Mus musculus: one gene and its partners. The protein of the gene in region 4 interacts with the protein of the main gene of each other region in a biochemical or structural test. Links are inferred from orthologs where the notes say so. Each region holds a gene or a part of one and is shown on either strand. Other genes may lie near its edges. The genes, in order: Pdgfc, Pdgfa, Pdgfb and Pdgfra.

Region 1 (6,058 bases), on a different chromosome or scaffold from region 4:
CTAATGAGAAACCAAAACGAGGTCATTGTAACTCAGTACCACAATATTTATAGTTGAACTATTTCTGTACGCCTGTGTAAGTGGAGAGAATGAAGCCAAGCTTGAGGGACTAATGGCATTTGAATGGACACTTGGCAGGAAGCTAGTAAGAAGGGTCTGTGTAGGAGCTGTTCTTCTAAGAGAATGTAGCACACATTAGCATACATGTGAAGGAATGCTGGTATTTTTCAAAACCCACAAATATTCTCTACAGCTGTGCCAGATTTGATGGTGTAAAATGAACGGAAAGTGGTAAACAGTGAGCTTAGGAGGGATTTGGTGTGCCATACGAGGATTAAAACAGAATTCTGTAGAGTTCTACTGGGGAAACTCTACCCATCACCATTAGCTTTGCTGAAGGGCCATGCTCTTAGTGGTGTGGAGGACAGATCAAACAGCAGTGAGGCCAAAGGCTCATTAGGCTGGGGAAACAGAGACTGTTTTACTGGAATGGAGAGAGCTCTGAGGCAGGGCCAGAAAGGAGACAGTTACAGAAACTGGGGGGTGTGGTAGTCACAAATGTGAGGGAGGAAAAGGCACTCAGTGATGTCTGCTAATAACATAGGAAGCAGGAAATGAAAACAAAGCCCGGGCCTCTCTGAAGTGAGATGGTTCATTATAAAGGACTTAGCTTCAGAAAATTCACTCAGCTTCAACATCGGATGTGAGAAGAAAGCGAACCACTGGGGGGAAAAGAATCTATCGATACAGTTTAATTTTCTGAGGGCAAGACTACCTGTTTTGTCTTTCGCACACGTCCAAATTGTCTATAAGGAGTATTTGATGAGAAGGAGAAAGGAACAATGAGAATCAGAAATAAAAAATATAATCATGAATACTGCTTCATATAACTAAGTGCTATTCTTCAGTTTAATAAGCATCACTATGCAAAATGGGCCTTTGCCACAGAGACAGAAGTCGGAACCACTGATATAACATACAAAATAATTGGTGGTCAATATAGTCAACACCTCCAAGACTTAAGAGAAAATGAGGTCACGTGTGCTGTAAACGCATTAGCTTCTGTTGGCTTTGGTAAACACAGGAAGCATCATGAGTGTAATTGATCATAGACAATCAGGCTTCATACTTACCCTCACTCACTGGCAGTAGGGAACAGAGTGATACTTTTATGATCACGTTTGACCACCAAAGAGAACAATAAATATTTTAAAACTGACAAGGGAAATGGTTAGAAATACCAAGGTAAACACATCTGGTAGGTAATTCCGTGTAATCTCTCACAGTTCTTACTTTGCCAGTAAGACCTGGAAACTGCCGATATTCTGCACTTCCCATGATGCTTGGTGAAGTTATTTCTGGGTCTCTATAGCGCTGGGACAAAAGGGCAAAAGGTTAAAGAAATGAGACAGAGAACATGTTTATTTGTGTACTTGTTTCTCACATGGTGGGAGGTAGGGCAGGGCTGCCAGCAGCAGGGTCACAGTCAATGGGTACTCTTTGCAAGCTCAGTCTGGAGAGACTGTCTCTGGACATGTGATGTTTCGCCAAGCCTACAGCCAAGTGCTGAAGAAACCAGACCCCAAGAGATCTGTGCCTAGAATGGAAGGACTATATTTTGAAATACCCTGGTAATCCATAGACTAGCTACTACATACTGCAGATGTTGCCATAGAAAATGGAGACAGGAATAGGAACTTATGGAATCTGCCCCTCACTTAATCTAATCATATACTATATCACCACACATTTTACAATGCATCTTTTACTTTTAGATCCTATACAGTTTACTTAATCAGAATTTACTATTAATACCACTGGGGGGGGGAAGAACTTCATTGCAACAAGAAATTAGAAAGAAGAAGACAGGGGAGGGTGAACTGGCAGATGTTTTTCTACAATGCAAAAGATGGTAACTGAGTACTTTATTATCTTCCTTTCCTTGGAACCAAAGAGGCAGACATGTTCACACTCATGGATACCCACAACCGCCTCACCCCCCCCCACACACACCACATACACTTAGACGAACACTTACACTTGTCCCCAAAATAGCCAGATTATTTTATTTGATGATTCAATACATTTTAATTCAAATAGTCACCACAAAACTTGGGCACAGATTAAGCATTTACAAGCAATGTATTATGTTGATTTTCTTTGCAATTGCCAAAGAGTATAATAAGTGAACTCCTTAAATGATATACTTCTGTACATAAAAATATCCATGTATTAATACAAGTGTATGGAGCAGAGTTTAAAGGTAATAAAACCCTAGTATTGAAATAAATAGGATATGTCCATACAGCGCAGCATAGCCCAGAACACTGTGCCTAGAAATGGTCGAGGTTTCTGGGGACGTGCTTCTCTGAGCTATACTCCTATTTCCCATAGAAAGGGGTAGGTTAGCAATGGCTCCATATTTACTCAAGCTCTGTTCTGTTCGTAGCTCTAAGAACAGAATTGGGAATTGATGATAGTACAGTTGTTATCAAACTGTCCCTGCGACCTACCAATTCTAAAAACTTCCCCATTCCATCTTTTCAAATGCAGATGACGCTAAGCTCTAGCACCATACAAGGAAGAAATACATATGTTTTTGTCAGAGCAACAAGATTTTTATATCAATCATCTTTGTTCTTCTGGCTATAACAATTTTGTTTAGAAAAAAAAATTATCAAGCTAAAAATAATTGCTCTAGGTTGTCATAAAAAAGAATATTAAATACCTTTGGTAAAAATAGAAATATTTAACAAGATTAGAAAAGCCAACAGTTATAATGTCAAAAGGAGAATATAAAAATATACACAATGAAACACAGAAGCCACCTCAGAGGGAAGGGAAGGGAAGGCCACTCCTCTGTGCAGGTGTGCTTTCTCCAAACCATGACCGCACCTTTCCTCCAAATTGCGGAGAAGTTGCCAAGCATTGAAAACTTCAGTCTTTCCTTTCAGCATGGCACATTTAATTCCTATTAACATAGCTGCTCTCTAAAAGCTTTGAGTTTGTAGAAAACAGAGCATCTGTCTATCTATGCAAACAGGTTGGAGAAATCCAAGTATTTCTGCATTGTTCACAATCAAGTGTGTGTTTTTCACCATTTTCTTGTGCTGACATCACTTGCCCATATCAAGACAACTAAGCTACACCATTCTGTCAGTGGAAAAGAAATGCTGTCACTCCAGAGTTTGCTAGCGATCTACATTCATTTCATTTGTTTCTGTGGTCAGAAGACCATTGTCTGGGCTTCCTCTAGAAGGCAGTGCTTTGTGATTGACTCCTCTTGGTGCCTCTGGTCTTTTAGAAGACACTTGAAGTCCTGCAGGGGAAGGCTATTGAAGCAAACAACTGAGAATTTGGTTGGAGACGAGTAAGATCTTTACCATAGCCAGCATCAGCAGCTGAGAGCCCTGCGGCCAACGCTGGTGGGGATGAAGGTTGCTTGTGGGGGTACACAGAATGCCAGTGCTCACGTGTGCTGCTACGAAGGCTGCAGTTACCCTCCTGCGTTTCCTCTACACACACAGTCACATTCCTCGTGGTGTTCCAGAGCCACATCAGTGAGTGACTTATGCAATCCCTTGACTCCAGTTTTTGGTCTCAACTGAAGGACCTAAAAGGGAATAAATATGTCTCCTTTAAAAAAACATTGTTTACTGTGCTTGACTTCATGGACAAGTAACATTTCAAAAATCAGAAAACAAACACAAAAGCAACAGTACAAAACAAATAAACAATAACATTGGGGGCCGAAGAAAAACATGCACACTCTTTCATGTTGCTTAGTGAAGTTACATGTATGCATGGTCCTTCCCTCTAGCTTCAACATCCCAGTCATCCACTACTGTCATTTCATAAAAGAAAGGATGCCTTAATGCCAGAAGTCTCAAAGCACACAGAAAAGCTCTTAAACGGAAAGATTCACTGTGTGCTAATTGCTTCCTAAATGTTATACGAGAGATAATTTCACCTCAAGGGTTTTGAAAGCACTGGTAGACAATTTGTTTTTCTGTTGTTTTAGCTTCTTCTTTTCATACACTTCTCAACTGGGCAAATATTTACACTTGATGCAATGCACTCAAACCATGGGCATAGCGTGGTAAGAAACTCGATCATTCCACAGCTGAGCTTGCTCAATTATGCCACTCATTAATTTTCTTGGCTACACTTCAAGTCCTCTATAAACTTGATGAGATGGATTAGATGTACTCCATAAGCATCGGCCTCTGCCACAGCTTAGTTTCTGCATCTGGGTCTTACTGTACAGTGCTAAGGAGGCTCAGCAGTAACAATGAGGCCTCTATTAAACAAACTTTTTCCACAATTTAGGTTGTTCAGATTTCAGACAAAAAATATAGATGGCAAAATTAACAATGGATCTCTATAGTATTGTGAGAAAAGTATCTAATTATGCAATCTATCAAAAGTATTTGAAGTATTGGAGAGTCAATATGTTTTAGGACAGAAACTATAAATTCTAGAACTTATGTCATTTGGATTACAAACAAATCCCAGAGCACATAATAATATGGAAGTGTTCAGTTTCCCTGCTTTCTCCTTATAACATAGAGAACTCCAAGAAGTGACTGTGAAAATTTCCTACTCCTGTAAATTATCATTAATCCACAGGGACCCAAATCATGTCTCATGACTGTTTGTTTGAAGACTTACAAAGGAAACCTGGGTAATGCATGCATAATTTTGGAACATGTGATTCTAGCGGAGCTTAATTAGCTCACATTTTTGGAATACTTACTGGGTACCAGGCACAATAATAATGTGTTTACATAGTTTAACTCACAATGATCCTATGATGTAATCTGTAGTTATTGCTTTCCTTTACACGGGAGTAAATAGATTTAGACGCAATGAAGGCAATAGTTATTATTTGCACCTAGGCCAAAGGAGAAGTTATTAAAACTTGAATAACAACTATCAATTTAATGAAGCCTCACTACCATTGATTATCAGTTTGTTTCCTTTATTGAAAGATAGACGTCAAAGTCTTACAGGAAGTATCAGAAATGCTGAACTTTGAAAGGAACATTTTCAGCCCATTACATTTCATAATTTTGGACCAAAAGTCAGTGCATTTGTATCCCTTTAGTGTAAGGTTAACTAATTAGATAAATAGATATTACTTTATATTACCAATGACAAAGTTTTTAAATCAGTAGGGGTGTCATGAATTATAAAATTGATAATGTTGTTATTATTTTATCATAATCTTGCTTCATATTTCTTTCCCTTTCCTGGAAGGAGTTTTTATTGTTGTTATTGTTGTTCTGTTTTGTTTTGTTTTTTGGTAAGTCAGAGCATCAGTAGAGCCAGTGTCATGAGTTCCCACCTCCATCTCTACAGTTTCTCTACTCAGCAGCAAAGGAATACAGTATAAGAAGTGTAGTTCCTCCAGACTGTACAGTGGGCTCAGGAGGCACCTCTGCCTCCCTCTGCCTGACTCTTCTAATATGTATCTTCTGAACATCTTCAAAAAAGAGCAGAAGACTCATGCTACAGTAATTTTAAAGAATGGGATAAGAAATTCTAGTGAAGAGGTGGGTATTGTTTCTTTTAAACTCTACTGAAGGTTGTAACATTTAGAAGATGCAACTGGAAATGAAAATTTGCTTGTGGATACTAGACAATATTACATAGAAATATATGGAAATTAGGATGTATGACATAAGAATGAATGGGGAGAGAGAGAGAGAGAGAGAGAGAGAGAGAGATTGTAGAACTGCTTGAATTGGGGCTCAGTTGTAGGAAATGATGTTCACCTAGAATACATGAAACTCTGGCTTAATTTCTGCTATGGTTTAATAGGAAATGCCATCTGAAGACTTGTGGACTGAACATTTAGCAGCTGATGGAGCTATTCCAGGGACGGTCTGAAACTTTAAGTGGTGTAGCCTAGTTTGGAGAGGTAGGGGCAATGGATCATATCATTCTCATTATCGCTCCTTCTTTCTGTCCTCCATTTTCTTCTGTCACCATCAAACAACCAATTAATTAAATTTATGAAGTTAGAGATAGAGAGAAACCATTGGGTCAAGTATGA
Region 2 (6,058 bases), about 64 Mb from region 4:
ACAGTACTTGCTTTGATGTCACACTGAACAAACGGACACTGTCTCTTTGTCCTCGGACACAGTTTTTCACGGAGGAGAACAAAGACCGCACGCACATTGGCAATGAAGCACCATACATAGTATGTTCAGGAATGTCACACGCCACGCACATCCGTGTCCCGGGAGAGGGCGGCCGGCTCATCTCACCTCACATCTGTGGGAAGGCAGGAAGAGTTGAGGCTATGACCACAGATAGAAAACAGCAGGGCCACTTAGCCCCAACTTGTCTTAAGATACGAAGTTGATATACGTAATTTAAAAAAAAAAAAATCAAAATTTCCACAGTTTAATCAAATCTTCCCAATTTAAGAACTGGTACTAGACTGGCTGCATTTCATAGAAGAACCCATGCTCCCATTGCACAGATGGAGAAACTGAGGCATAGAAAGTTCTTTTTGTCCTCCCCCCTATGTTTCTTTCTTCCAGCCTAAGGCCTGTACCTTGTTGGAGGTTGGCAGTTTGGGCCATGAAGTATCAGAACAGATACCACCAGCCACCCTGCATGTGGCTCTCTGTGACTAATCAGAGCAATGATTTTGTGTGGCTGTTCTGGTGCTGGTGATCAAATACTAGCACAAAGCTACACCTCCTAGTTTCATAATGAACCAATGATGCCAGGTGGCCAGCTGGACACAGGCAGTCACGGAAACACCTGCCTCTCCCTTGAAGGGGTCCCTGTCAGCAGCAGTCCCTGTCAGAGCCACATGGAACAACCCCAAGGACCTGCCCAAGGAGACAAATGCCCAAGACAGGCATCCCCAGGCACCCTCGTGTGGGAGCCAGGGTTCTCAGACACCCTATCTCTGAGGACTCTCCTGCCCAGAATAACTGTTTGTCTTGGATGCCCCTAAGTCGCATGTGCCAGGAGGAAGGGCTCAGCCAGACAGGCTCCAGCCCTCTGAGCCAGACAAGCTGACACTCAGGACAGGTCTGGGAAATGATATGCCCCACCTACATTCCCTACACTTCCGGGGAAAAGCAGCCATCACAGGGTGGGTTTGCAACAAGCATTCCTAAGAGGCTCTACAGCCCTTCTTTACCTGCCTGACTCTTCCACCCCTGGAGCAGCCTCCATGGGTCCTGGCGGTAATTTTAAGGACAGAACCCACAGTACAAAAGACCACCCCATCTGGTCTTACACGGATCATTAACCTCTTCCTCCTTTCCTGAGGTCACTGCTGGTTACAAAAGATGACTGACTGACTGCCCTGGCCACTTAACTCTTCAGATCCACTCAGCCTCCTCCTCCTCCTCGGTAAACGTCTCAGTCCTTCCGCCAGTCAGCGCAGTGGGCAGTCTCTCCCCAGATAACTCCACCAGAGCCACCAGAAGCCCCCACCCACCCTTCCCGCCATGGGGCACTCGGGTGCCTGATCAACGACCAAGAGAAGGGCAAAGCTGTAGCTGCAAGGAGACCCGGCCGAGCAGTCCCAGAAGCACACAGAACCTTGAGCCAATCAGGGCCCACGGAAGCGGGATTCGCCTGTCTTGATTGTGTCCCAGCCCTGTGCGAGGGAGTCCCCAGCTCACCCGGCGGGCAGGGCCTACCTGGTCGGCCGCCTTAGGTGGGTTTTAACCTTTTCCTTTTCCGCTTTTTACCTGATTCCCTACGCCTTCCTGTCAAGGAAAGGGCAGGGGAGGTGAGTGGCCTCCGGAGGGCCTGGGGTGGGAAGCCACAGTAATAAATACTGAAGGTGTTTATCTTTCAGAGAGAAAGCCTGATCCACCCTGGTGCATAGACACTTCCGGGTCTATCTCTGCACCTGGGCTGCCTGAATGTTGGCATATACAGGTGTGCTGGGCAGGACTGAAGGGCAAGACCCTGGGCAGCAGGGTACAGCCCGAATCCAGTGTCTACTGTTCCACCTGGAGGTGGCACCTGCAGGCAGTTTCCCTGACTGTCACTCTGCAAGCTAGTGTGGACAGCTGGCAAATCCAGGCCTGCTGACTTGTTTACTCAAGCAACTTTTCCCATCGCTGTGATGGGCTTGGCTGGGTCAGATGTGACAGATCACTCATCCCATATCCCTCAGGACCCACACACAGCAAATCAGACAGTGTTGGCCACTCACCTGTCTCCTCCTCCCGATGGTCTGGGTTCAGGTTGGAGGTCGCACATGCACACTCCAGGTGTTCCTCTAACCTCACCTGGACCTCTTTCAATTTTGGCTTCTTCCTGACATACTCCACTTTGGCCACCTGCCGAGGAAACAAAAGCCAGTGTCAAAACCATGTACCCAAAGGAGACCTGCTTGGGGCACCCCAAACCAGGACTCAGATACCTAACTCTCTTCAAGGCATCTTCCCTTGAGCTCAGGTCTGCTTTCATTCGAAATAAACCCCAACGATACTAGGCCTACAGCTGCCGTCCCGGCAGCTTCTGTCCCAGCAGCCAGAAGCTCGAGGTCAGCCTGGACTACACAGCAAGGGATGTGGCTCAGCTACCAGAGCACTTCCTCAGCAGTCACAAAGCCCTGAGTTCCATCCCCAGCATCATATAAACTGAATGAATGTGGCGGCAGAAGCCTGTAATCCCAGGGCTCAGGACGTGGAGGCAAGAGAACTAGGAACTTAAGACTCCTAATTGCCCAAAAGATCTGAAGGGCGTCAGCCAAGAAAGGGTGAGCTGGACGTAGGATGGTGGAACATACTACTACTCCCTTTGTTAGTAAGAACCCAGAGTCTTGGCTAGGAACAGCAGTGTGGCTACAAAGCTTGCTGATGGAGGGAACCCTCCCAACTTGTGGTCTCTGAGAGACACGCCAACCCAGCAACACACCTCCAGGTGGTACAGAAAGTTTCTACCGGATTCTAGAACCCCAGGCAAAGGCTCCCATCGTCCTGGCCAGATGCGGAGCACTACAGCCTCATCCTCGCAACACTCGGGTCGTGAGTGTGCCAACTCCACCCCCACAGACTGTGAGTCGTGCACACAGCTCCCAACAGAGGAATGCAACTCCACACACTCCCTCCCCCCTCATCCAGTAGTTCCTTAACCCACTCCAGCCCCCACCAACTGCTGCACCAGGAGGCAGCTTGGGGCCATGCACCCTGCTCCATTCCAGCATGACGTGGCATTAGGGAACCCTCTAGGTCACCTCCCTCAGAATCCAGACACCAGGACTCATTTAACCCTCCTGGCCAGCCAGTGAGTGAGGAGGCAGGATTGTCACCTCCACAGATAGAAAAGAAAAATCAGGCACAACCAGCCCTCTCCTGAGGTGACCCGGAGAGCGTGGCTGGCGGCTTGTTCCAACCTCGATGCCACCTGGAATAAGTGTCAGAGAACAGCCACCCTCCCAGCACTGCAGAACTGCATACAACCAGTGCCAAATCTGTGTCCGACTCCCAGAGCAGCCCTAAGGGGTCTCTACCTCACATCCCGCCATACACTAGGGAAACTGAGGCTACAGCAGTACTGAACCCACTCCGGGTGGCTTAGAGCACCTAGCAGTGGCAGCCTTGTGACGTTCAATGCTGGAAACAGTGCGTGGCCCACCCAGAGTGACCGGGGGAGCTTGGGCAGGAGAACACTCCCCAGTGTTCTCCCAAGGGTATTAAAGCTCAGGCACCAAGAGGACCCTTGGAAGCTATGGTCAGCCATCCGCCAGAGTACCAGGCCAGGCAGCTTTCAGAGTCCTGGGGACCAGACTCAGCCAGACTCTGCTGTGGCTACCGACTTGGCTACATTAATGGTTAACATGGGTGCAAAGGGTGCCGGGTGCCTGGCGGGCGTGGGAAGTAGAATGGGTGCCCCAGGTGTGAACAGAGTCTGCCAAGTATGAGCTCAGCATGGAGGGCGTGGGGCCAGGGGTCAGGGGTCAAGGGCCAGCCCAGGAGGTTTCACTACGTCAGAAAGCGGGAGGGACAGCAACTTGGGGCCGTGAAAGCCAAGGAGGGTCTTCCCCTGAGAGCTGTAGGCATGTGGCAGGCTTCTGCCCAGGGGTCTTGCTCAAAATGTTTTGGTGGAGTGCTGGGCCAACCTGGGCATTTGGGTCGGGCTATGCTATCCAGATACCTCCAACCTGACCTGTGAAATAGGGACAGTGGTCACACCCACCCAGGTAGCTCATGAAAGAATAAAGTTTTCTCTGCAGCGGCAGCCAGAGGTCAAGTGGGTATGGTGGGGTAGGCTGAGGCTGGAGGATTTGCCTCAAGTCCAGCCTTGTCTACAATATGAGTTCCACGCCAGCCCCCAGCTATAAGACCATGTACCCCAAAACAAACAAAAGACACAACAGTAAAAAATCACCTAGAAATGGGACACAGCCACCCTATAGGAGGAGCTAGCTTCAACAAAATCAATATTCACACAAGGCTCCTTACTAAAATTAGCCCCCAAACACTGTTCAGGAAGTCACCATGTCCCCAGAAGCAATGCAATCCCCGGTCCCTAAGCTCAGGGTCTCACACTCCACCCCAGGGAACAGAAGGGCAACCCCTGTCTCTCCCCTTCAAGAGCCCTGAGGTAGGTCAGGGAGGGAGAACTTCTTCCAAAAGAAAAACATCAGCCAGTCCCAAGAGGAGCTGTAGGCAGAGATGCCACAGTCCCCAACCTCCAAAGATGTCTATTGCCTTTGGTGATCCAGCAAACTCCTAGACTGCCTAGATTTAAAAAAAAAAAAAAAAAGAAGAAGAAGCCTGAAAGAGACCACGGCCACAGACACCAGTGGTGGGTGCTCTCCTCTTCCACCACAGCCTCTGTGGTGGGAACCAGGTAGCCTCACGCGGCCCTGAGCACAGGCTGTCAGAAGGGGACTTGGCTTGGTTTTAACTACAGCCCTGCAGCCTGACCCAAACCCTGCCTGCAGGGCAAGTACAACCTTCTCCACTGAGCCTAGGGGTCCCCTGCATGAGGAGCAACTCATGAGCCGCTCCAGCTGGGGAGGCCCATTCTTCCAGACAGGCCCATGGTTATCAGACAGAAACAAACAGCGGTTTATAGTAGCACCTGCCTTGGGAATGCAAGGATTCCAGCCGCTCTGCCACCTCTGTCTGGCCAGGAAATGGCTACAACCACCCCTACACCCCCCCCCCCCCCGCACGCACGCGCACACACACACACACACACACACACACACACACACACACAGAACATGTTATGAATATTACATTTTCCCACTTGTGCCCCATGCATTCCAGAGCTCCCTCAAGTTTAACGCAGAGGATCACCTGGCCAGGCCATTATCCAATCACTCCTCTGCACGGAGGAGGGGTAGGAGGGGTGGGGGGGTTGTCTTTCTACTCCAAGCCTCAGGACAGTGATGTCTATGATAAAAGCCAGTGCTGATTGAGCTGAGCACAGGGCACAGTCCCTCCTGCAGGTCAGCTGCATGGACCCAACTGGAGCCTATTCTACTAGATGAGGAACCAGGGGCTGGCAAGTGGACAGCTTGCCCAGGCCCCTCACTCCTCTGCTTCCTACTCAGCTAGACATAAAAGGAATGAGCCCCCAAGGTCTCACAGCACAGAGACCTGGGACCTTCCCACAACAATCCTTTAACTTGACCAAGAGAACATTAGGTTATGGCTCCCAAAGTGCCCCATGGACATCCAGTGACGGGGGAAGCTGGGCTGGGACTTAAAGGCTGGGGCACCCCTGTCCCACCTGGCTGAGGGCTCACAGCTTGATAAGCATCAAGCACATCCCAGGTGTTTTCTGTCACGCTGCCCCAGCCTCCTTGGATCTCAAGCCTTTCATTGGAGGGACCGAGAGACTTGCTCCTTCAAGACTAAAGCCTGCCTGGCCACCTTCTCTGAAATCTTTGCACAAGCCAAATGATGGAGCCCAGCTGGGACTTTCCTTAGGACATAGCTTCAGACCCTACTCAAGTTGGGGGCACCTTCAGAAGCCTGGAGCCTAACCCAGCAGAGCCCCTACGTCCTGCATGTTGGAGACTGAGTCGTCAGCAGTCAGGTCAAATGATGGCTCAGAGCTGACCTGACCCCTTAGCAGTCCCATGGAATGTAGACAGAAGGCTCACCTCTGTCCAAGCTAAACACTCCATGGGCTCAGCTA
Region 3 (6,058 bases), on a different chromosome or scaffold from region 4:
GTTCCCTGCTGGCTGGCCAGTGGTCCAGGAACCAGGCAGGACATGCAGAGGTCCTCGGGCTAAGTGCCAGGCTCTGGGGCCAGTCCACAGTCCACGTCCCCCGGCAAGGCTCCTGCACACTTGTTCCAGGTTCTTGGAGTCAAGAGAAGCCTGCAGCCTGGAGTGGAGTCCTTTGCATCTGGAGCTGCAGGGCGGGCTGAGGAATCGCTGCTGGTGGAGGTGGCCGGGCACACGGGGTGAGGGAAGCACCATTGGCCGTCCGAATCAGGCATCGAGACAGACGGACGAGGGGAACAACATTATCACTCCAAGGACCCCATGGGGGCAATACAGCAAATACCATATTAAATAACCCTGTGGGCAGAGAAGGATACAGCGTCAGAGGTAGCTCAAGGGTCCCCGTGGCCCCCATACCAAGGCAAGGGGCTAGGGCTCCTGCCACCATGCTGATTTCCAGCAGGTCCCAAGTCTGAGACGGAGGAGCTATGGGAAATTTGAGTGAGACAGGCACCCTGTTTCAGAGAGGTTGAGGCTCAGCTAGGCAGGAGCAAATGCCTCTGCTGGTTCTCACGGAGCCTGTCTAAGTCACAGCCAGGGAGTAGCTGAAAGCCAGGGAGTAGCTGAGGCTTGTTTTTTCTGGTTGGCTCCTCACCTGCCCACACTCTTGCCGACGCCCCTAGGCTCCGAGGGTCTCCTTCAGGGCCGCCTTGTCATGGGTGTGCTTAAACTTTCGGTGCTTGCCTTTGGGGGGCCGGCGGATTCTCACCGTCCGAATGGTCACCCGAGCTTGAGGCGTCTTGGCTGCTCGAGAAGAAGAAGAAGTAGTGTTTGTCAGCATCTGATAGCAATGGAGTGTTTTCCTTGTACCTTGGTGCCTGCTGGGAGGGAGCCTTGGGTATGGCTGAGGGAGAGGACAGACTTCACCAGGTCAAAGTTAATCCCCACAGCTCTCCAGCTCTGGGGACGTGACTGAGTCTTTCTATGCCTTCCCCTCTCTCTGGGAGTGAAGCAGGTGGACAGCCCACCTCATGGGAAGGAGAACGGATTACAAGGCAGCATGCCGGCCAAGCAGTGCCGGACCCAGGAAACTCTGTTTTGTGCCTGCCCCCTGCCCCCAAGTCCTCATCTCTACTCAGAGATGGATTTTCCCACTCCCTGAAGGTGGCCTGGCCCTGGATCCCTCTACCCAACAGGAAGTCCTATTGGCTCTGGGTACCCACCCATCTTCAGAGGACTGGCCCAGCTCTCCTTTGTGCTTCAAGCACCGTGTCTCACTACATGCCTGGAGAGGTCATGTGGGGACTGGGGCTCTTGAACCACAGTGTAGCTGCTGCCTCCAGCCACAGCCAGACGGCAGAAAAAATCTAGTCAGCTCTCCAAGGAGCCTCATTCTTGCACAGAACTGCAGGGTGAATGTCAGCCACAATACACCGTGAGTGGTGGCCTGTCACCCTGTGACCCTCTGCCTCCCATCTCTCCTACTGAGACCTATACCGCCAACCTCTGGCTCCTCTGGCCACAAGATGAGGAGGCCACCAGACTTTCTTTGGAGCTGTGCCTGTTGTTCAAATTCCTGGGCACTCAGAGAAGCAGAATGGAGGGCTGGGCTGGCAACTTAGTCAAGGAGTCAGCCCAGGTCCAAACCTGGGCTCTTCTTGATACTGTGTGCCATGGGGCAAGGCACTTAACCACTCTGAAAATCAGCAGTGACCTCCTACAGTTGAGACAGCGCATAAAGCAAGCAGGAACCCCAGTGAGCACCTGCAATGTCCCTGGCGCCACTACACACTCCTTTATTTCCATGGTTGGTCTTATTCATCCTACAGTGTTGGGGGAAACTGAGGCAGAGAGCTGTGTTTGAAATCCTGCAATCTATCTGTGCTTCATGCTGCCAGCACCTGGCTGAACTGACAGTTCCTGGGAATCCTGGACCAGACCGACTCTAACTGCTCTTCCTCCTGGGTTCTGAGAAGCCAGGTCAGACAGGCAGGGGACAGCACTTCCTGGGAGACACTGGAGAGTCCCTGGCCTCCAGCCGGTGAGGTTGGTACCTGTCTGTTCATCTCAGACTGGCTCTCTTGAGGTAGCCCCCCTTCCTTTCAGGCTACCTCAAGAGACCCAGTCTGAGATGAACGAAGTTTTCCTTGCAGGGTAGAGATCTGGGGGAGCTGAGATTCTCGGGGGGGGGGGGGGAATGACACCCAGAGGGGGCATGGAAACCACCCCCCAGAGAGCTTTTGCCCCAAAAGGCATGTGCAGGAGGCTGGGCTGCGCTAAGCCTGATCCAATTCACACAACTCACAAATGACACAGATTTGAGCCTAAGAATTCCAAAACACCAGCACTGGCCTAGGCTCTACTAGAGATGAACCTGGAGGCCAGTCCCGCAATATTCTTAACTTTCCGGTTCTAACACTTAAAGAGTTCTTCCTGCGTGGGGGCTGGAGAGGTGGCTCAGAAGGTGAAGAGCATTGGCTGCTCTTCCAGAGGACCCAAGTTCAATTCCCAGCACCCACAGGGCAGCTCCCAGTTGTCTACAACTCCAAGAGCTGACACCCTCACACAGACATACATGCAGGCAAAACACCAATGCACAGAAAATAAAAATAAATAAGTTAGCCAGACTGCCAGGCTGAGGTTGGACTATGTGACCGGAAATCTGAGCATCTTTAGACTTCGGGTACTTCCGCTACACAGAGAAAGGAGCCTCTGAGATGTTTCCAACTCAAACCGAACTGCCTGACCCTTGCAGAATCAGACATGCACTCCTCTGGTGGATGCGTGAACGTCAGACCCACTCTCCACATCCCAGCTGTATGGATGCTCAGCCTTTACTTGTGTATCTCCAGGAGATGTTGTGAGTGAAGGGGGCTGGTTGGTAGTGAGGCCAGGCGCTGCAACCTCATTTAGGGCCAAGAAGAATCTAGATTGTTCTCAGTGAGATCAAAAGTCTCAAATAAATTTAACCAGAAATAATGTATTTGCTCTCCATTTAAGTCTTTTCTGTGTGGTATATGTTTAGATCTCTCTCTCTCTCTCTCTCTCTCTCTCTCAGTGTGTATGTGCGTGTGTGTGCATGTGTGTATGAAGTCAGAGGTTGACATCAAGTCTTCCTATATTGTTTTCTGAGACAGGGACTCTTACTTAACCCGGAGCTAACCAACAGCTAGACTGGTCCCCTGGGATTCACCCATCTCCACCTTCTCAGTACCAGGGTGACAGGCACAGCTATCATGCCTTGGTTTTTATATGGATGCTGGTGTTTCAGACTCAGGTCTGCATGCGTGCTCAGCAAACACTCTACCCACCGAGCGCTCTCCCTAGCCTCCTGACCCCTATTTAGAGACCCGTCCTTTTCCCAGCTGTTATAAGGGAAAGAGGCTTGGGTTGAGCCACGTGGAGCAGCCCCTGGGAAGGCAGCTTACCTCGCTGCTCCCTGGATGTCCCAGGACTTCTAGTCACAGGCCGAGGGGTCACTACTGTCTCACACTTGCAGGCGAGGTGGTCCTCCAAGGTCACTGTGGCCTTCTTGAAGATGGGCTTCTTTCGCACAATCTCAATCTTTCTCACCTGGAGGACAAGAATGAGCAAAACTTCTCTGTAGAAGCCATCAGTGCAGGAGCGGCCTCACGCGCCTGGCAAGTGTCCTGTGCTGGAGTCTTTCCTCGAAAGCCAAAACCCAGGCTCGTCTGCAGAGTGACAGCTCTGAACCAAAACAATAGTCAGGCCTTTCCCTCTGTCCCTCTCAGAGCTTTTCCATCAAAACAAGCCCTTCAACCTAGCTGACCTGGCCTCTGGCTTTGCTGTAGCAACCCCCCCCCCCCGCCTCCCTGACCCCCCAGAGTGGGAGAAAGGCATTTCCGGGTGGAGCCTGAGTCCTGTGGGTCGCCATTCCTGGAGCACCGGCCAAGGCCAGGGACCAGAGCAGAACAGGGAGATAGTTATCTGATAGGAAGTGCGAGAGGCCTTATCTAGAAGAGAGGCTGCAAGGGGGGAGGCAGCTGTCAGGTGTCCATCCCTAAAGCTGGGGACAGAAGATACCGTGGCAGTGGGTGGGGAAGCATGGCGTGTCATTTGTACTCTGGGTCATGGAGACAGGCCATGAATGGAAGACAGGCGGGAGACTGGGCAGAGGCCACAGGCAGAGGGCAGGGAAAGACAGCATGGCCACACAGCCAGTGCACTGAGTGGGCTGGTTTTGAGCTTTGTGCTATGTGCCCAGGGGAAGCTGAAGTAGGAAGGCTGATTCAGAGTACAGAGACCTGTCCACCTGAGTTAGAAGACAGCCGTGCCTCCTGGGCCTCTGGGTCACTGCCTCAGAATAGCATCTCTCCAAAAAGGACCGAGCTAGCCACAGAGCTGGACCATTTGCCAATGGGACCCCTGATTCCTACAGTGGACACTCTGTGCCACCTTTGCTAAGCTTGCACAAAGCTTGCCAAAGAAACCATTGAAGTCCCAAAATGTAGGGGCCCCTGAGTATGATAAAGAATTGAGGGGACCTGGGCAGCTTAAAGACAGGGGCACTGTGAGACTGTGACCCTATAGAGCAGGTGACATTGGTCCATTACTTAGCAGCTCAACCAAGTCACATCCTGGACTCCATCTAACTTTCAGTGACTACGGTTTGAGACATCTTGGAGAAAGCGTCCCAGAAGCATCCTCCAAGCATCCTTCTCTGGAAGGAGCCATGAAGAACCAGCCAAGTTCTGCAACCCACAGAAGCTGTTCAGCCGCTGGGGCGGGGCCAGACCCAGGGTGGGGCGGATTTTGCGCACCTGGACCGGCCGCATCTGCACCTGCGAGGCCCGGCATTGCACATTGCGGTTATTGCAGCAGCCGGAGCAGCGCTGCACCTCCACACAGGGCGGCCACACCAGGAAGTTGGCGTTGGTGCGATCGATGAGGTTCCGAGAGATCTGGAACACCTCTGTGCGCGTCTTGCACTCGGCGATTACAGCAGGCTCTGCTGCTGCCAGGGACCCTGGAGGGAAGAGGCCTGTCAGGAACAGACCGACTTCTTTGGAACCTCCCCCATCCAAAGACAGGCCCGAATTTGGGTAGGTGGCCGAACTACCCTGAGCCTCAGTTGACCCCAATCGAAAACAAGGACAGCGAGATCTACCCCCGAGAAACACAGCCAACATCAGGTTAGATCATCCAGTGTGACCTTGTAAATGTTTAGGATTTAGCTCCCAATTGTTCAGTCACACAGCTGTGCGATTGTCCTGAGTCCTTCTGCACTGTTACTTTCCTGGCTTAGATTGGTCTTGTATTGTTTGTTTTTGTTTGTTTTTTGTTTTGTTTTTGTTTCATTCCAAACAGGGTTTCTCTGTGTAGCCCTGGCTGTCCTGGAACTTACTCTGTAGACCAGGCTGGCCTCAAGCTCAGAAATCCGCCTGCCTCTGCCTCCTAAGTGCTGGGATTAAAGGCGTGCGCCACCACACCTGGGTGCACTAATATAGTCTTTTTTTTTTTTTTTTTTTTACTTATCTTGAAATGTTTTAAGTACATTGGTGTTTTGCCTGCATGTGTCAAAATACGTGGAAGAGGAGTTACAGACAGTCGTGTGCTGCCATGGAAACAGAACCCAGGCCTCTGGAAAAGCAGCCATCTTCTGAGCCATCTCTCTAGCCCCACTGGTCTGTTCGTATGTGGCCCTTTCCTTCAGAGCCTAACCTACGAAATGGGATTAACAACAGAGCTATTGGGTCAGCAAGTGCTCAGACACGTACAGGGAATGGCTCACAGGTGGAGAAGTAGGCCTGGAGACCTAGAGGCTCTTCCAGCCACATCTCCAGTGACTTGGAAACTGTACGTGGGTACGTGGCCACCTGCTTCACCCTGGAAGTCTTCACTAGGACTGACAGATGTACTTGGCTGGTCTCTGCTAAGGAGCAATCTGTAGAACCTGCTGGGTTCTGCATTAGGCCACAGTGGAGCTGTGGGCCGTAGTGGACAGAGGGGACTCCCCCCACCCCCACCCCCGCCCCCCCGCCTGAGAAGACCTTGGTTTCAATTTCAACAAGTAAGTCCTTCCATTCCAGTTTCTCCACCC
Region 4 (6,058 bases):
ACTATACAATAGGTTTCTGAAAGTGGATTCCATCTCTTGATGTGTGTGTGCGCGCACGCATGTGTGCATGTCCTCAAAGGGCCTTTATTTTTATATTTTATTCTCCATTGTTTTTCTTAAACATTTCCCATTCTCTCTTAGAATGCTCTATAATGTGAAGACAAAAAGAATTGTAAGAACCACTCTTGTTCATGGATTTTATCTGTATATGTATGTATGTATGTATGTATGTATGTATGTATTTAGCTTGCAGTCCTGTTGTGACATAATGTCTCACTCACCGTGTAGCCAGTGCTTTGGCTGAAGTCAAACGTACCATTCTCTTGCTTTGCTCTCCCAGGCGCTGGGGTTGCAGGAGTGCACCACCAGCCCTGCCCAGCTCACATTTCTTTCTTTCTTTCTTTTTTTTTAAAGATTTATTTATTTATTTATTTATTTATTTATTTACTTATTTATTATATGTAAGTACACTGTAGCTGTCTTCAGACACTCCACAAGAGAACATCAGATTTCATTACGGATGGTTGTGAGCCACCATGTGGTTGCTGGGATTTGAACTCAGGACCTTCAGAAGAGCAGTCTTAACCACTGAGCTGTCTCACCAGCTCCCAGCTCACATTTCTTATTTCTTACCATAAATGTTGTCTCGGTGGCTAGACTGGCAGTGCAAACAGAGCCGAGAGCCGTGCCCACGTGACTCCTCATACCCACTTGTTCTTTGGAAGCCAGGAGAGGGCACTGGATCCCCTGAAGGTGGAGTAACAGGTGGTTGTGAGCATTTTAGTAGGAATGCTGGGAACCAAATGTGGGCCCTCCATAAGAACAGTATGAGCGCTTCATGGCCGGCCCACCTCTCTAGCCCCTCCTCCACCTTCATAGGCAGGCCCATGAACTGTGCGCCCACACCTTGCTCCACGGCAACTACCTGCTTTCAGAAGGCCTTGAGTGCGTCTCTGCTGAAAGTGCAGCTTGCTATTGCTCTCCTCACTGAGAGCTGTGGAGTGACCTGGGTCCTGGGATTTCTAGGTGTAATGATTTAACCCAGAAGACTACTGCAGCCTTAGGGACCCCTTAGAAGCTCTTCCTGGGGTTGAAGATGAGGAGGGAGGATATTTTCAAAGGAGTGGGAGATTTGCATTGTTGAACGTGTTTGATGCTATCTCCTGAGTTTGCTCACAGGTCCAAGATTTGAGATAAGTAGTTAGATTTTGTGGATTTTATCTGCCTCCTCCACAAACCATTAACTTTGGTTATCCACGTGAGATTACTCCTCTTGAGCAGGTGCAAATGGATTTTAATGTGAACAAGCACCATAAAACGAGAACTCCCAAATCTATGCACCATAAAACAAGGACTGCCCCACCCCCCAAATATATGTAATGTTAGCAATGTGGAAGGGTCGTTGTGACTCCTGGTAATCAGATCTTCATTTGTGTCACATTCTCTCTAGATGTAATAATGACACTTCGTGGACAGTTTTGGCCAGCAATGTCTCAAATATTATCACAGAGCTCCCTCGCCGTGGCAGGAGTACCGTGGAGGGACGAGTGTCCTTCGCCAAAGTGGAAGAGACCATCGCAGTTCGATGCCTGGCAAAGAACAACCTCAGCGTTGTGGCCCGTGAGCTGAAGCTGGTGGCTCCCAGTGAGTTTCTCAGTAGGCAGCACAACTCCAGCTCACCAGCCACGCCCTGTGTTCCTCAGGTGGGACGTGGAATCCCAGACAGGGCTCACAGAGTGGCAAAGGTCCCAAGACAGTTCAGCCCTGTCTGGACTTGAAGCACTGGTCTTCCTGCCAAGCCCCCTTTGTTTGCCCTGACCCAGCTGCGTTTGCAGAGCTGCAGGCAGCTTTGCTTGTCATGTAGAGGATGACTAAGCCTCTGTCATCTGAGCACTGGGGTCTAGGGATAGAAAGTGAGGAAGGGGCTTTTGCCTCACGATCCTCAGAACAGGTGGGTCAGGTTTGAGTCAGAAACAAAGAAAGGAAGGAAGCCGAGAAAGAGAGAGAGAGAGAGAGAGAGACAGAGACAGAGACAGAGACAGAGACAGACCGAGAGACAGACAGACAGACAGACAGACAGAAGGCAAAATTCACCTTTACCATGAAACTTATGAGATGGATATTTCTACAAATAAAGTTGCTCCTAACTTATTGTTGGTCTCCATCGTCTTTATTCAAATTGTCCAAAAGGAGATCCTTGGAGTGTCTTTGGAAAGAAAGTCTTTGTCCCAGGGAAGAATCACATTTAGTTGCAAGGGTACAAGTGATTGAGGGATGATATAGGCCACCCCTAAAGTGACCTGGGATCCCCAACACTTCCCCACCAGCAGGGAGATAGGCCCTAGTTCATTTCTTTCTGCCTCCCGTCTTATTCTGCCGTCCACAAATAACTGACAAAATTCTCTACTGTCTCTGTCTTGCCTTCCAGCTCTGCGATCTGAACTCACAGTGGCGGCCGCAGTGTTGGTGCTGTTGGTGATTGTCATTGTCTCTCTCATCGTCCTGGTGGTCATTTGGAAGCAGGTGAGTCTTTGGAACCATTAGAATGAGAACAACTGTATCCTTCGGTGTTTGGTTCAGAGAAGGGGTTTGGTAATTCCATGGGTGGTGGGTCATGACAGACTTTCCTGGGTCCAGTCACTTTGGTTCTGTAGTGAAGCTCAGTTGCCTTGAACTCTGGGAATTCACCAGTTACCCACCCTGGTCATTACAGAAACCACGGTATGAAATTCGCTGGAGGGTTATCGAGTCAATCAGCCCCGATGGACATGAGTATATCTATGTGGACCCCATGCAGTTGCCTTACGACTCCAGATGGGAATTCCCGAGAGATGGCCTCGTGCTTGGTAAGTTCTTGTGAGGGTAACCTCCCAGGACCCCAATGTTACCTACATAGCTTGCTACGTACAGATCTGGGACAGAATTAGGGACTTGAACGCCACTCACAGAGCTGGATATGGTAGCTCACACTCTTCATCTCAGCACTGGGGAGACTGAAGATGGAGGACTGTGAGTTCAAGACTAGCCTGGGCTACATGGACATCTTCAACATGAGCTCATTGGGGCTGAGAAGGGGAAGTCAAGGGTCAAGAAGTTGTTTAGCCTTTGTAAGGCCCCAGATTCTATCCCCCAAACGAACAAAGTTAGTGCACCGGGTATAGTAGCATACAGTTGGAGGGCATCAGCAGACGGATCCTGAGTTCACTCTCATACTGGGTTTCAGGCCAGCCTAGGCTACATGAGACCCTAGAGCAAAATGCCAAAAGGAAAGAGTCTTTTCTTTTTTTTAATGCACGTGAGTACACTGTAGCTCAGACACACCAGAAGAGGGCATCAGATCCCATTACAGATGGTTGTGAGCCACCATGCCGTTGCTGGGAATTGAACTCAGGACCTCTGGAAGAGCAATCAGTGCTCTTAACGGCTGAGCCATCTGTCTAGCCCATAGAAAGAAAGTCTTAATTGTATCATTGGAATGATTTTGGCCTGACAAAAATATTGCAATGGAAAAAATAAAGTTCATTTTTATAACCGAAGAGGACTAGCTGAGAAGTGAGAGAACTCAGTGGGCTACAGTCAGTCCGTTTTGAGGAGTCATAAAATACTTCTTTAAGTATATGTAATGTAGGATGGAAAAATATACGCTGGTGTTGTACTGCATGCCTCTAATCTCAGAGACGTAGTATTGGGAGTCCAAGGTCATTGTTAACTATATAGAGATTTTGAGACTAGCCTGAGCTATATGAGATCCTGTCTCAAAACCCCCCAAACAACTACCTTCCGTGTGTGTGTGTGTGTGAACACACACACACACACACACACACACACACACACACACACACACTTTAAAGCAAAACATAAAAAGGAAGGGAGCCCTCTGGGGCTATGTCACAATCAAGGCCCTCGCCAGGTGCAGTTTTTGGCTATCGTCTGTCTGTCTGTCTGTCTGTCTGGTTCCAAAGTACAGCAGAGCTAGGCGCTTAACAGTCACTCAAGCTGAACCTGTGCTTCTTTATTGTATTGTCCACCACTGTTTCCCACACAGAGCTTAGGGAAGTTAAAAAGCAGTAAAATAGGCAGGGAGGGTGGGTGGGTGGGTGTGCGCGAGTGCTCGCTCAGAGGTGGGGATGGAGTAGCAGAGCCCCTGCTATCCAGCACGTTGCCTCGTCCTCTTGGCAAGGCCACATTACTGGAAAAGCAGCATCTTTCTAGGCATGGATGGCGGAGGTACATACAGACCGGAAGAGCGGGCATGTCCACTCTCAGTGTCTTTCTGTGCCTGGGCTGCCGTGATCAGACTGGCTTCCTGGAAATGCCTCCCTTAGACCACAGTCTCTTTAAGAGTGGACAACAGCTTTGATTTCTTTGTCTCTACACACAAAGAAGGGCTGTGCTGGCACGTACACCCCCCCATCCCCCCCCCCCCCAAGTCCAGGGACCTTGGTGGCACGTACAGCTTCTGGTCCAGGAACCTTCCTTTATGACAAAGAAGACGAGTCCAAGTGTTCAGTAGTGCACTCCTCAGAATCAGTGGCATTTGGAATACAGACGATTTCCAGTGGTTAAGGATTTGTTAATGCAAAGGTTGCCTCTGTGTGCATCTGAGAGACAGAAGGGTAGAGAACCAGGGGGTTGGGTAGAAGCCACGGAGGCAAGTGCACAGGAGCCCAGGGCCTGGCGGGAGCCCATGTTCACACCAGGGAGGACTGTGCTTTCCCCTCTCTCATCCATGTTTTCCTTTCCATTGCAAATGCCATTTGACAAAAGCAATTACACTAATTCCCTTCCCTGTGGGCTCAATTCTTTTTTTTGGACATGATGACTTGGAGGAATAATTAGGCTTACTCAACACAGGAAAAACACCCACCCAGCTGTACACCCTCGTGCACTGGCCTCTGCCAGTGAGGCCGAGGGGCCGGGAGCTGGCGGTGATGGCTCTGTTTGCCTACAGGTCGGATTTTGGGATCCGGTGCATTTGGGAAAGTGGTCGAAGGTACAGCTTATGGATTAAGCCGGTCCCAACCTGTAATGAAGGTGGCTGTGAAGATGCTCAAACGTAAGTGTTTCTTCCCAGGGATACTTTGAACATGGACATACTAAGTAATTTAAGAGTAAAATCGAATTTAATATTATATTGAGATTCTTTGGACTGTGGGTTGAGACTTAGCCACCCTCCAAAATTAGGTTTCTTTTGTTCTTATCCCTCATTGTTAAAAATCAGATGCTTTCATTTTTGGTAAGAGTTTGTTTTTTTGTTTTTTTGTTTTTAATCTTAAAGACCAGAGACTCTGGGGCTGGGAAATGGCTCAATGGGCAAAGTGCTTTCTGCGAAAACATGGAGATCTGAGCTCTGATCCCCCCAGCATCCATCTAGGAAGGCAGAAGTAGTGGCATTCCCCTGTAGCCCCAACCCCACAGGGAGGCAGGATGAGACAGGTAAATCCTGGAAGCTCACTGGTCAGCTAGGTTACTCAACTCGGCAAGCTCTCAGGTTCACTGAGAGACCCTGACTCAAAATATAAGATGTAGAAACAGTTGAAGAAGATATTCTGATGTCAGCCTCTGGCTTCCATGTGTATTTGTAGACAAGGGCATTCACACACACAGACACACACACACACAGACACACACACACTCAGCAGTCTAGACTGAGGAGACCATCTAGTGCTCTTCCTTTAGACTCTTGGTAAATAAATACTATTGAATCACAAGGTTCCATGTGTTCTTCTGAGAACCAGAAGTAGGGAGTTCAGTTGTACTAAAATCTGGCTTACTTCAACAGCCACAGCCAGGTCTAGTGAAAAGCAGGCTCTCATGTCTGAGCTGAAGATAATGACTCACCTGGGGCCACATTTGAACATTGTGAACTTGCTGGGAGCCTGCACCAAGTCAGGTAGGCGCCTTGTTCTGGGGTTCCTGGGAGTTTCTGGGAATCCTCTTTGTTGTGGAAACTTTTTGTTTTGTTTTGTTTTGGTTTTTCGAGACAGGGTTTCTTTGTGTAGCCCTGGCTGTCCTATAACTCACTTTGTAGACCAGGCTGGCCTTGAACCAAGAAATC

What was found.
Region 1: the proteins of Pdgfra (region 4) and Pdgfc form a complex in vitro, tested with the Homo sapiens proteins (2 studies listed by BioGRID and IntAct, with this or other methods). The link is inferred for Mus musculus from reciprocal best matches to the Homo sapiens genes PDGFRA and PDGFC.
Region 2: the proteins of Pdgfra (region 4) and Pdgfa form a complex in vitro, tested with the Homo sapiens proteins (2 studies listed by BioGRID). The link is inferred for Mus musculus from reciprocal best matches to the Homo sapiens genes PDGFRA and PDGFA.
Region 3: the proteins of Pdgfra (region 4) and Pdgfb form a complex in vitro, tested with the Homo sapiens proteins (3 studies listed by BioGRID). The link is inferred for Mus musculus from reciprocal best matches to the Homo sapiens genes PDGFRA and PDGFB.

Annotation. Positions count from the first base shown.
Region 1 is NC_000069.6:81,210,017-81,216,074, reverse strand, and holds the end of Pdgfc (platelet-derived growth factor C isoform 1 precursor), read right to left. Parts: intron 3,614-6,058; coding exon 3,497-3,613; 3' UTR 2,035-3,496; downstream 1-2,034. UniProt on the Homo sapiens protein: Growth factor that plays an essential role in the regulation of embryonic development, cell proliferation, cell migration, survival and chemotaxis. Potent mitogen and chemoattractant for cells of mesenchymal origin.
Region 2 is NC_000071.6:138,977,035-138,983,092, forward strand, and holds part of Pdgfa (platelet-derived growth factor subunit A isoform 1 precursor), read right to left. Parts: intron 2,239-6,058; coding exon 2,112-2,238; intron 1,657-2,111; coding exon of another isoform or gene 1,601-1,656; exon of another isoform or gene 1,588-1,600; intron 194-1,587; coding exon 183-193; 3' UTR 1-182.
Region 3 is NC_000081.6:79,996,904-80,002,961, forward strand, and holds part of Pdgfb (platelet-derived growth factor subunit B precursor), read right to left. Parts: intron 4,985-6,058; coding exon 4,779-4,984; intron 3,571-4,778; coding exon 3,426-3,570; intron 2,124-3,425; exon of another isoform or gene 2,067-2,123; intron 802-2,066; coding exon 677-801; 3' UTR 653-676; intron 355-652; 3' UTR 1-354. UniProt on the Homo sapiens protein: Growth factor that plays an essential role in the regulation of embryonic development, cell proliferation, cell migration, survival and chemotaxis. Potent mitogen for cells of mesenchymal origin.
Region 4 is NC_000071.6:75,175,217-75,181,274, forward strand, and holds part of Pdgfra (platelet-derived growth factor receptor alpha isoform 1 precursor), read left to right. Parts: intron 1-1,450; coding exon 1,451-1,644; exon of another isoform or gene 1,645-1,688; intron 1,689-2,428; coding exon 2,429-2,523; intron 2,524-2,713; coding exon 2,714-2,846; intron 2,847-4,951; coding exon 4,952-5,056; intron 5,057-5,782; coding exon 5,783-5,893; intron 5,894-6,058. UniProt on the Homo sapiens protein: Tyrosine-protein kinase that acts as a cell-surface receptor for PDGFA, PDGFB and PDGFC and plays an essential role in the regulation of embryonic development, cell proliferation, survival and chemotaxis.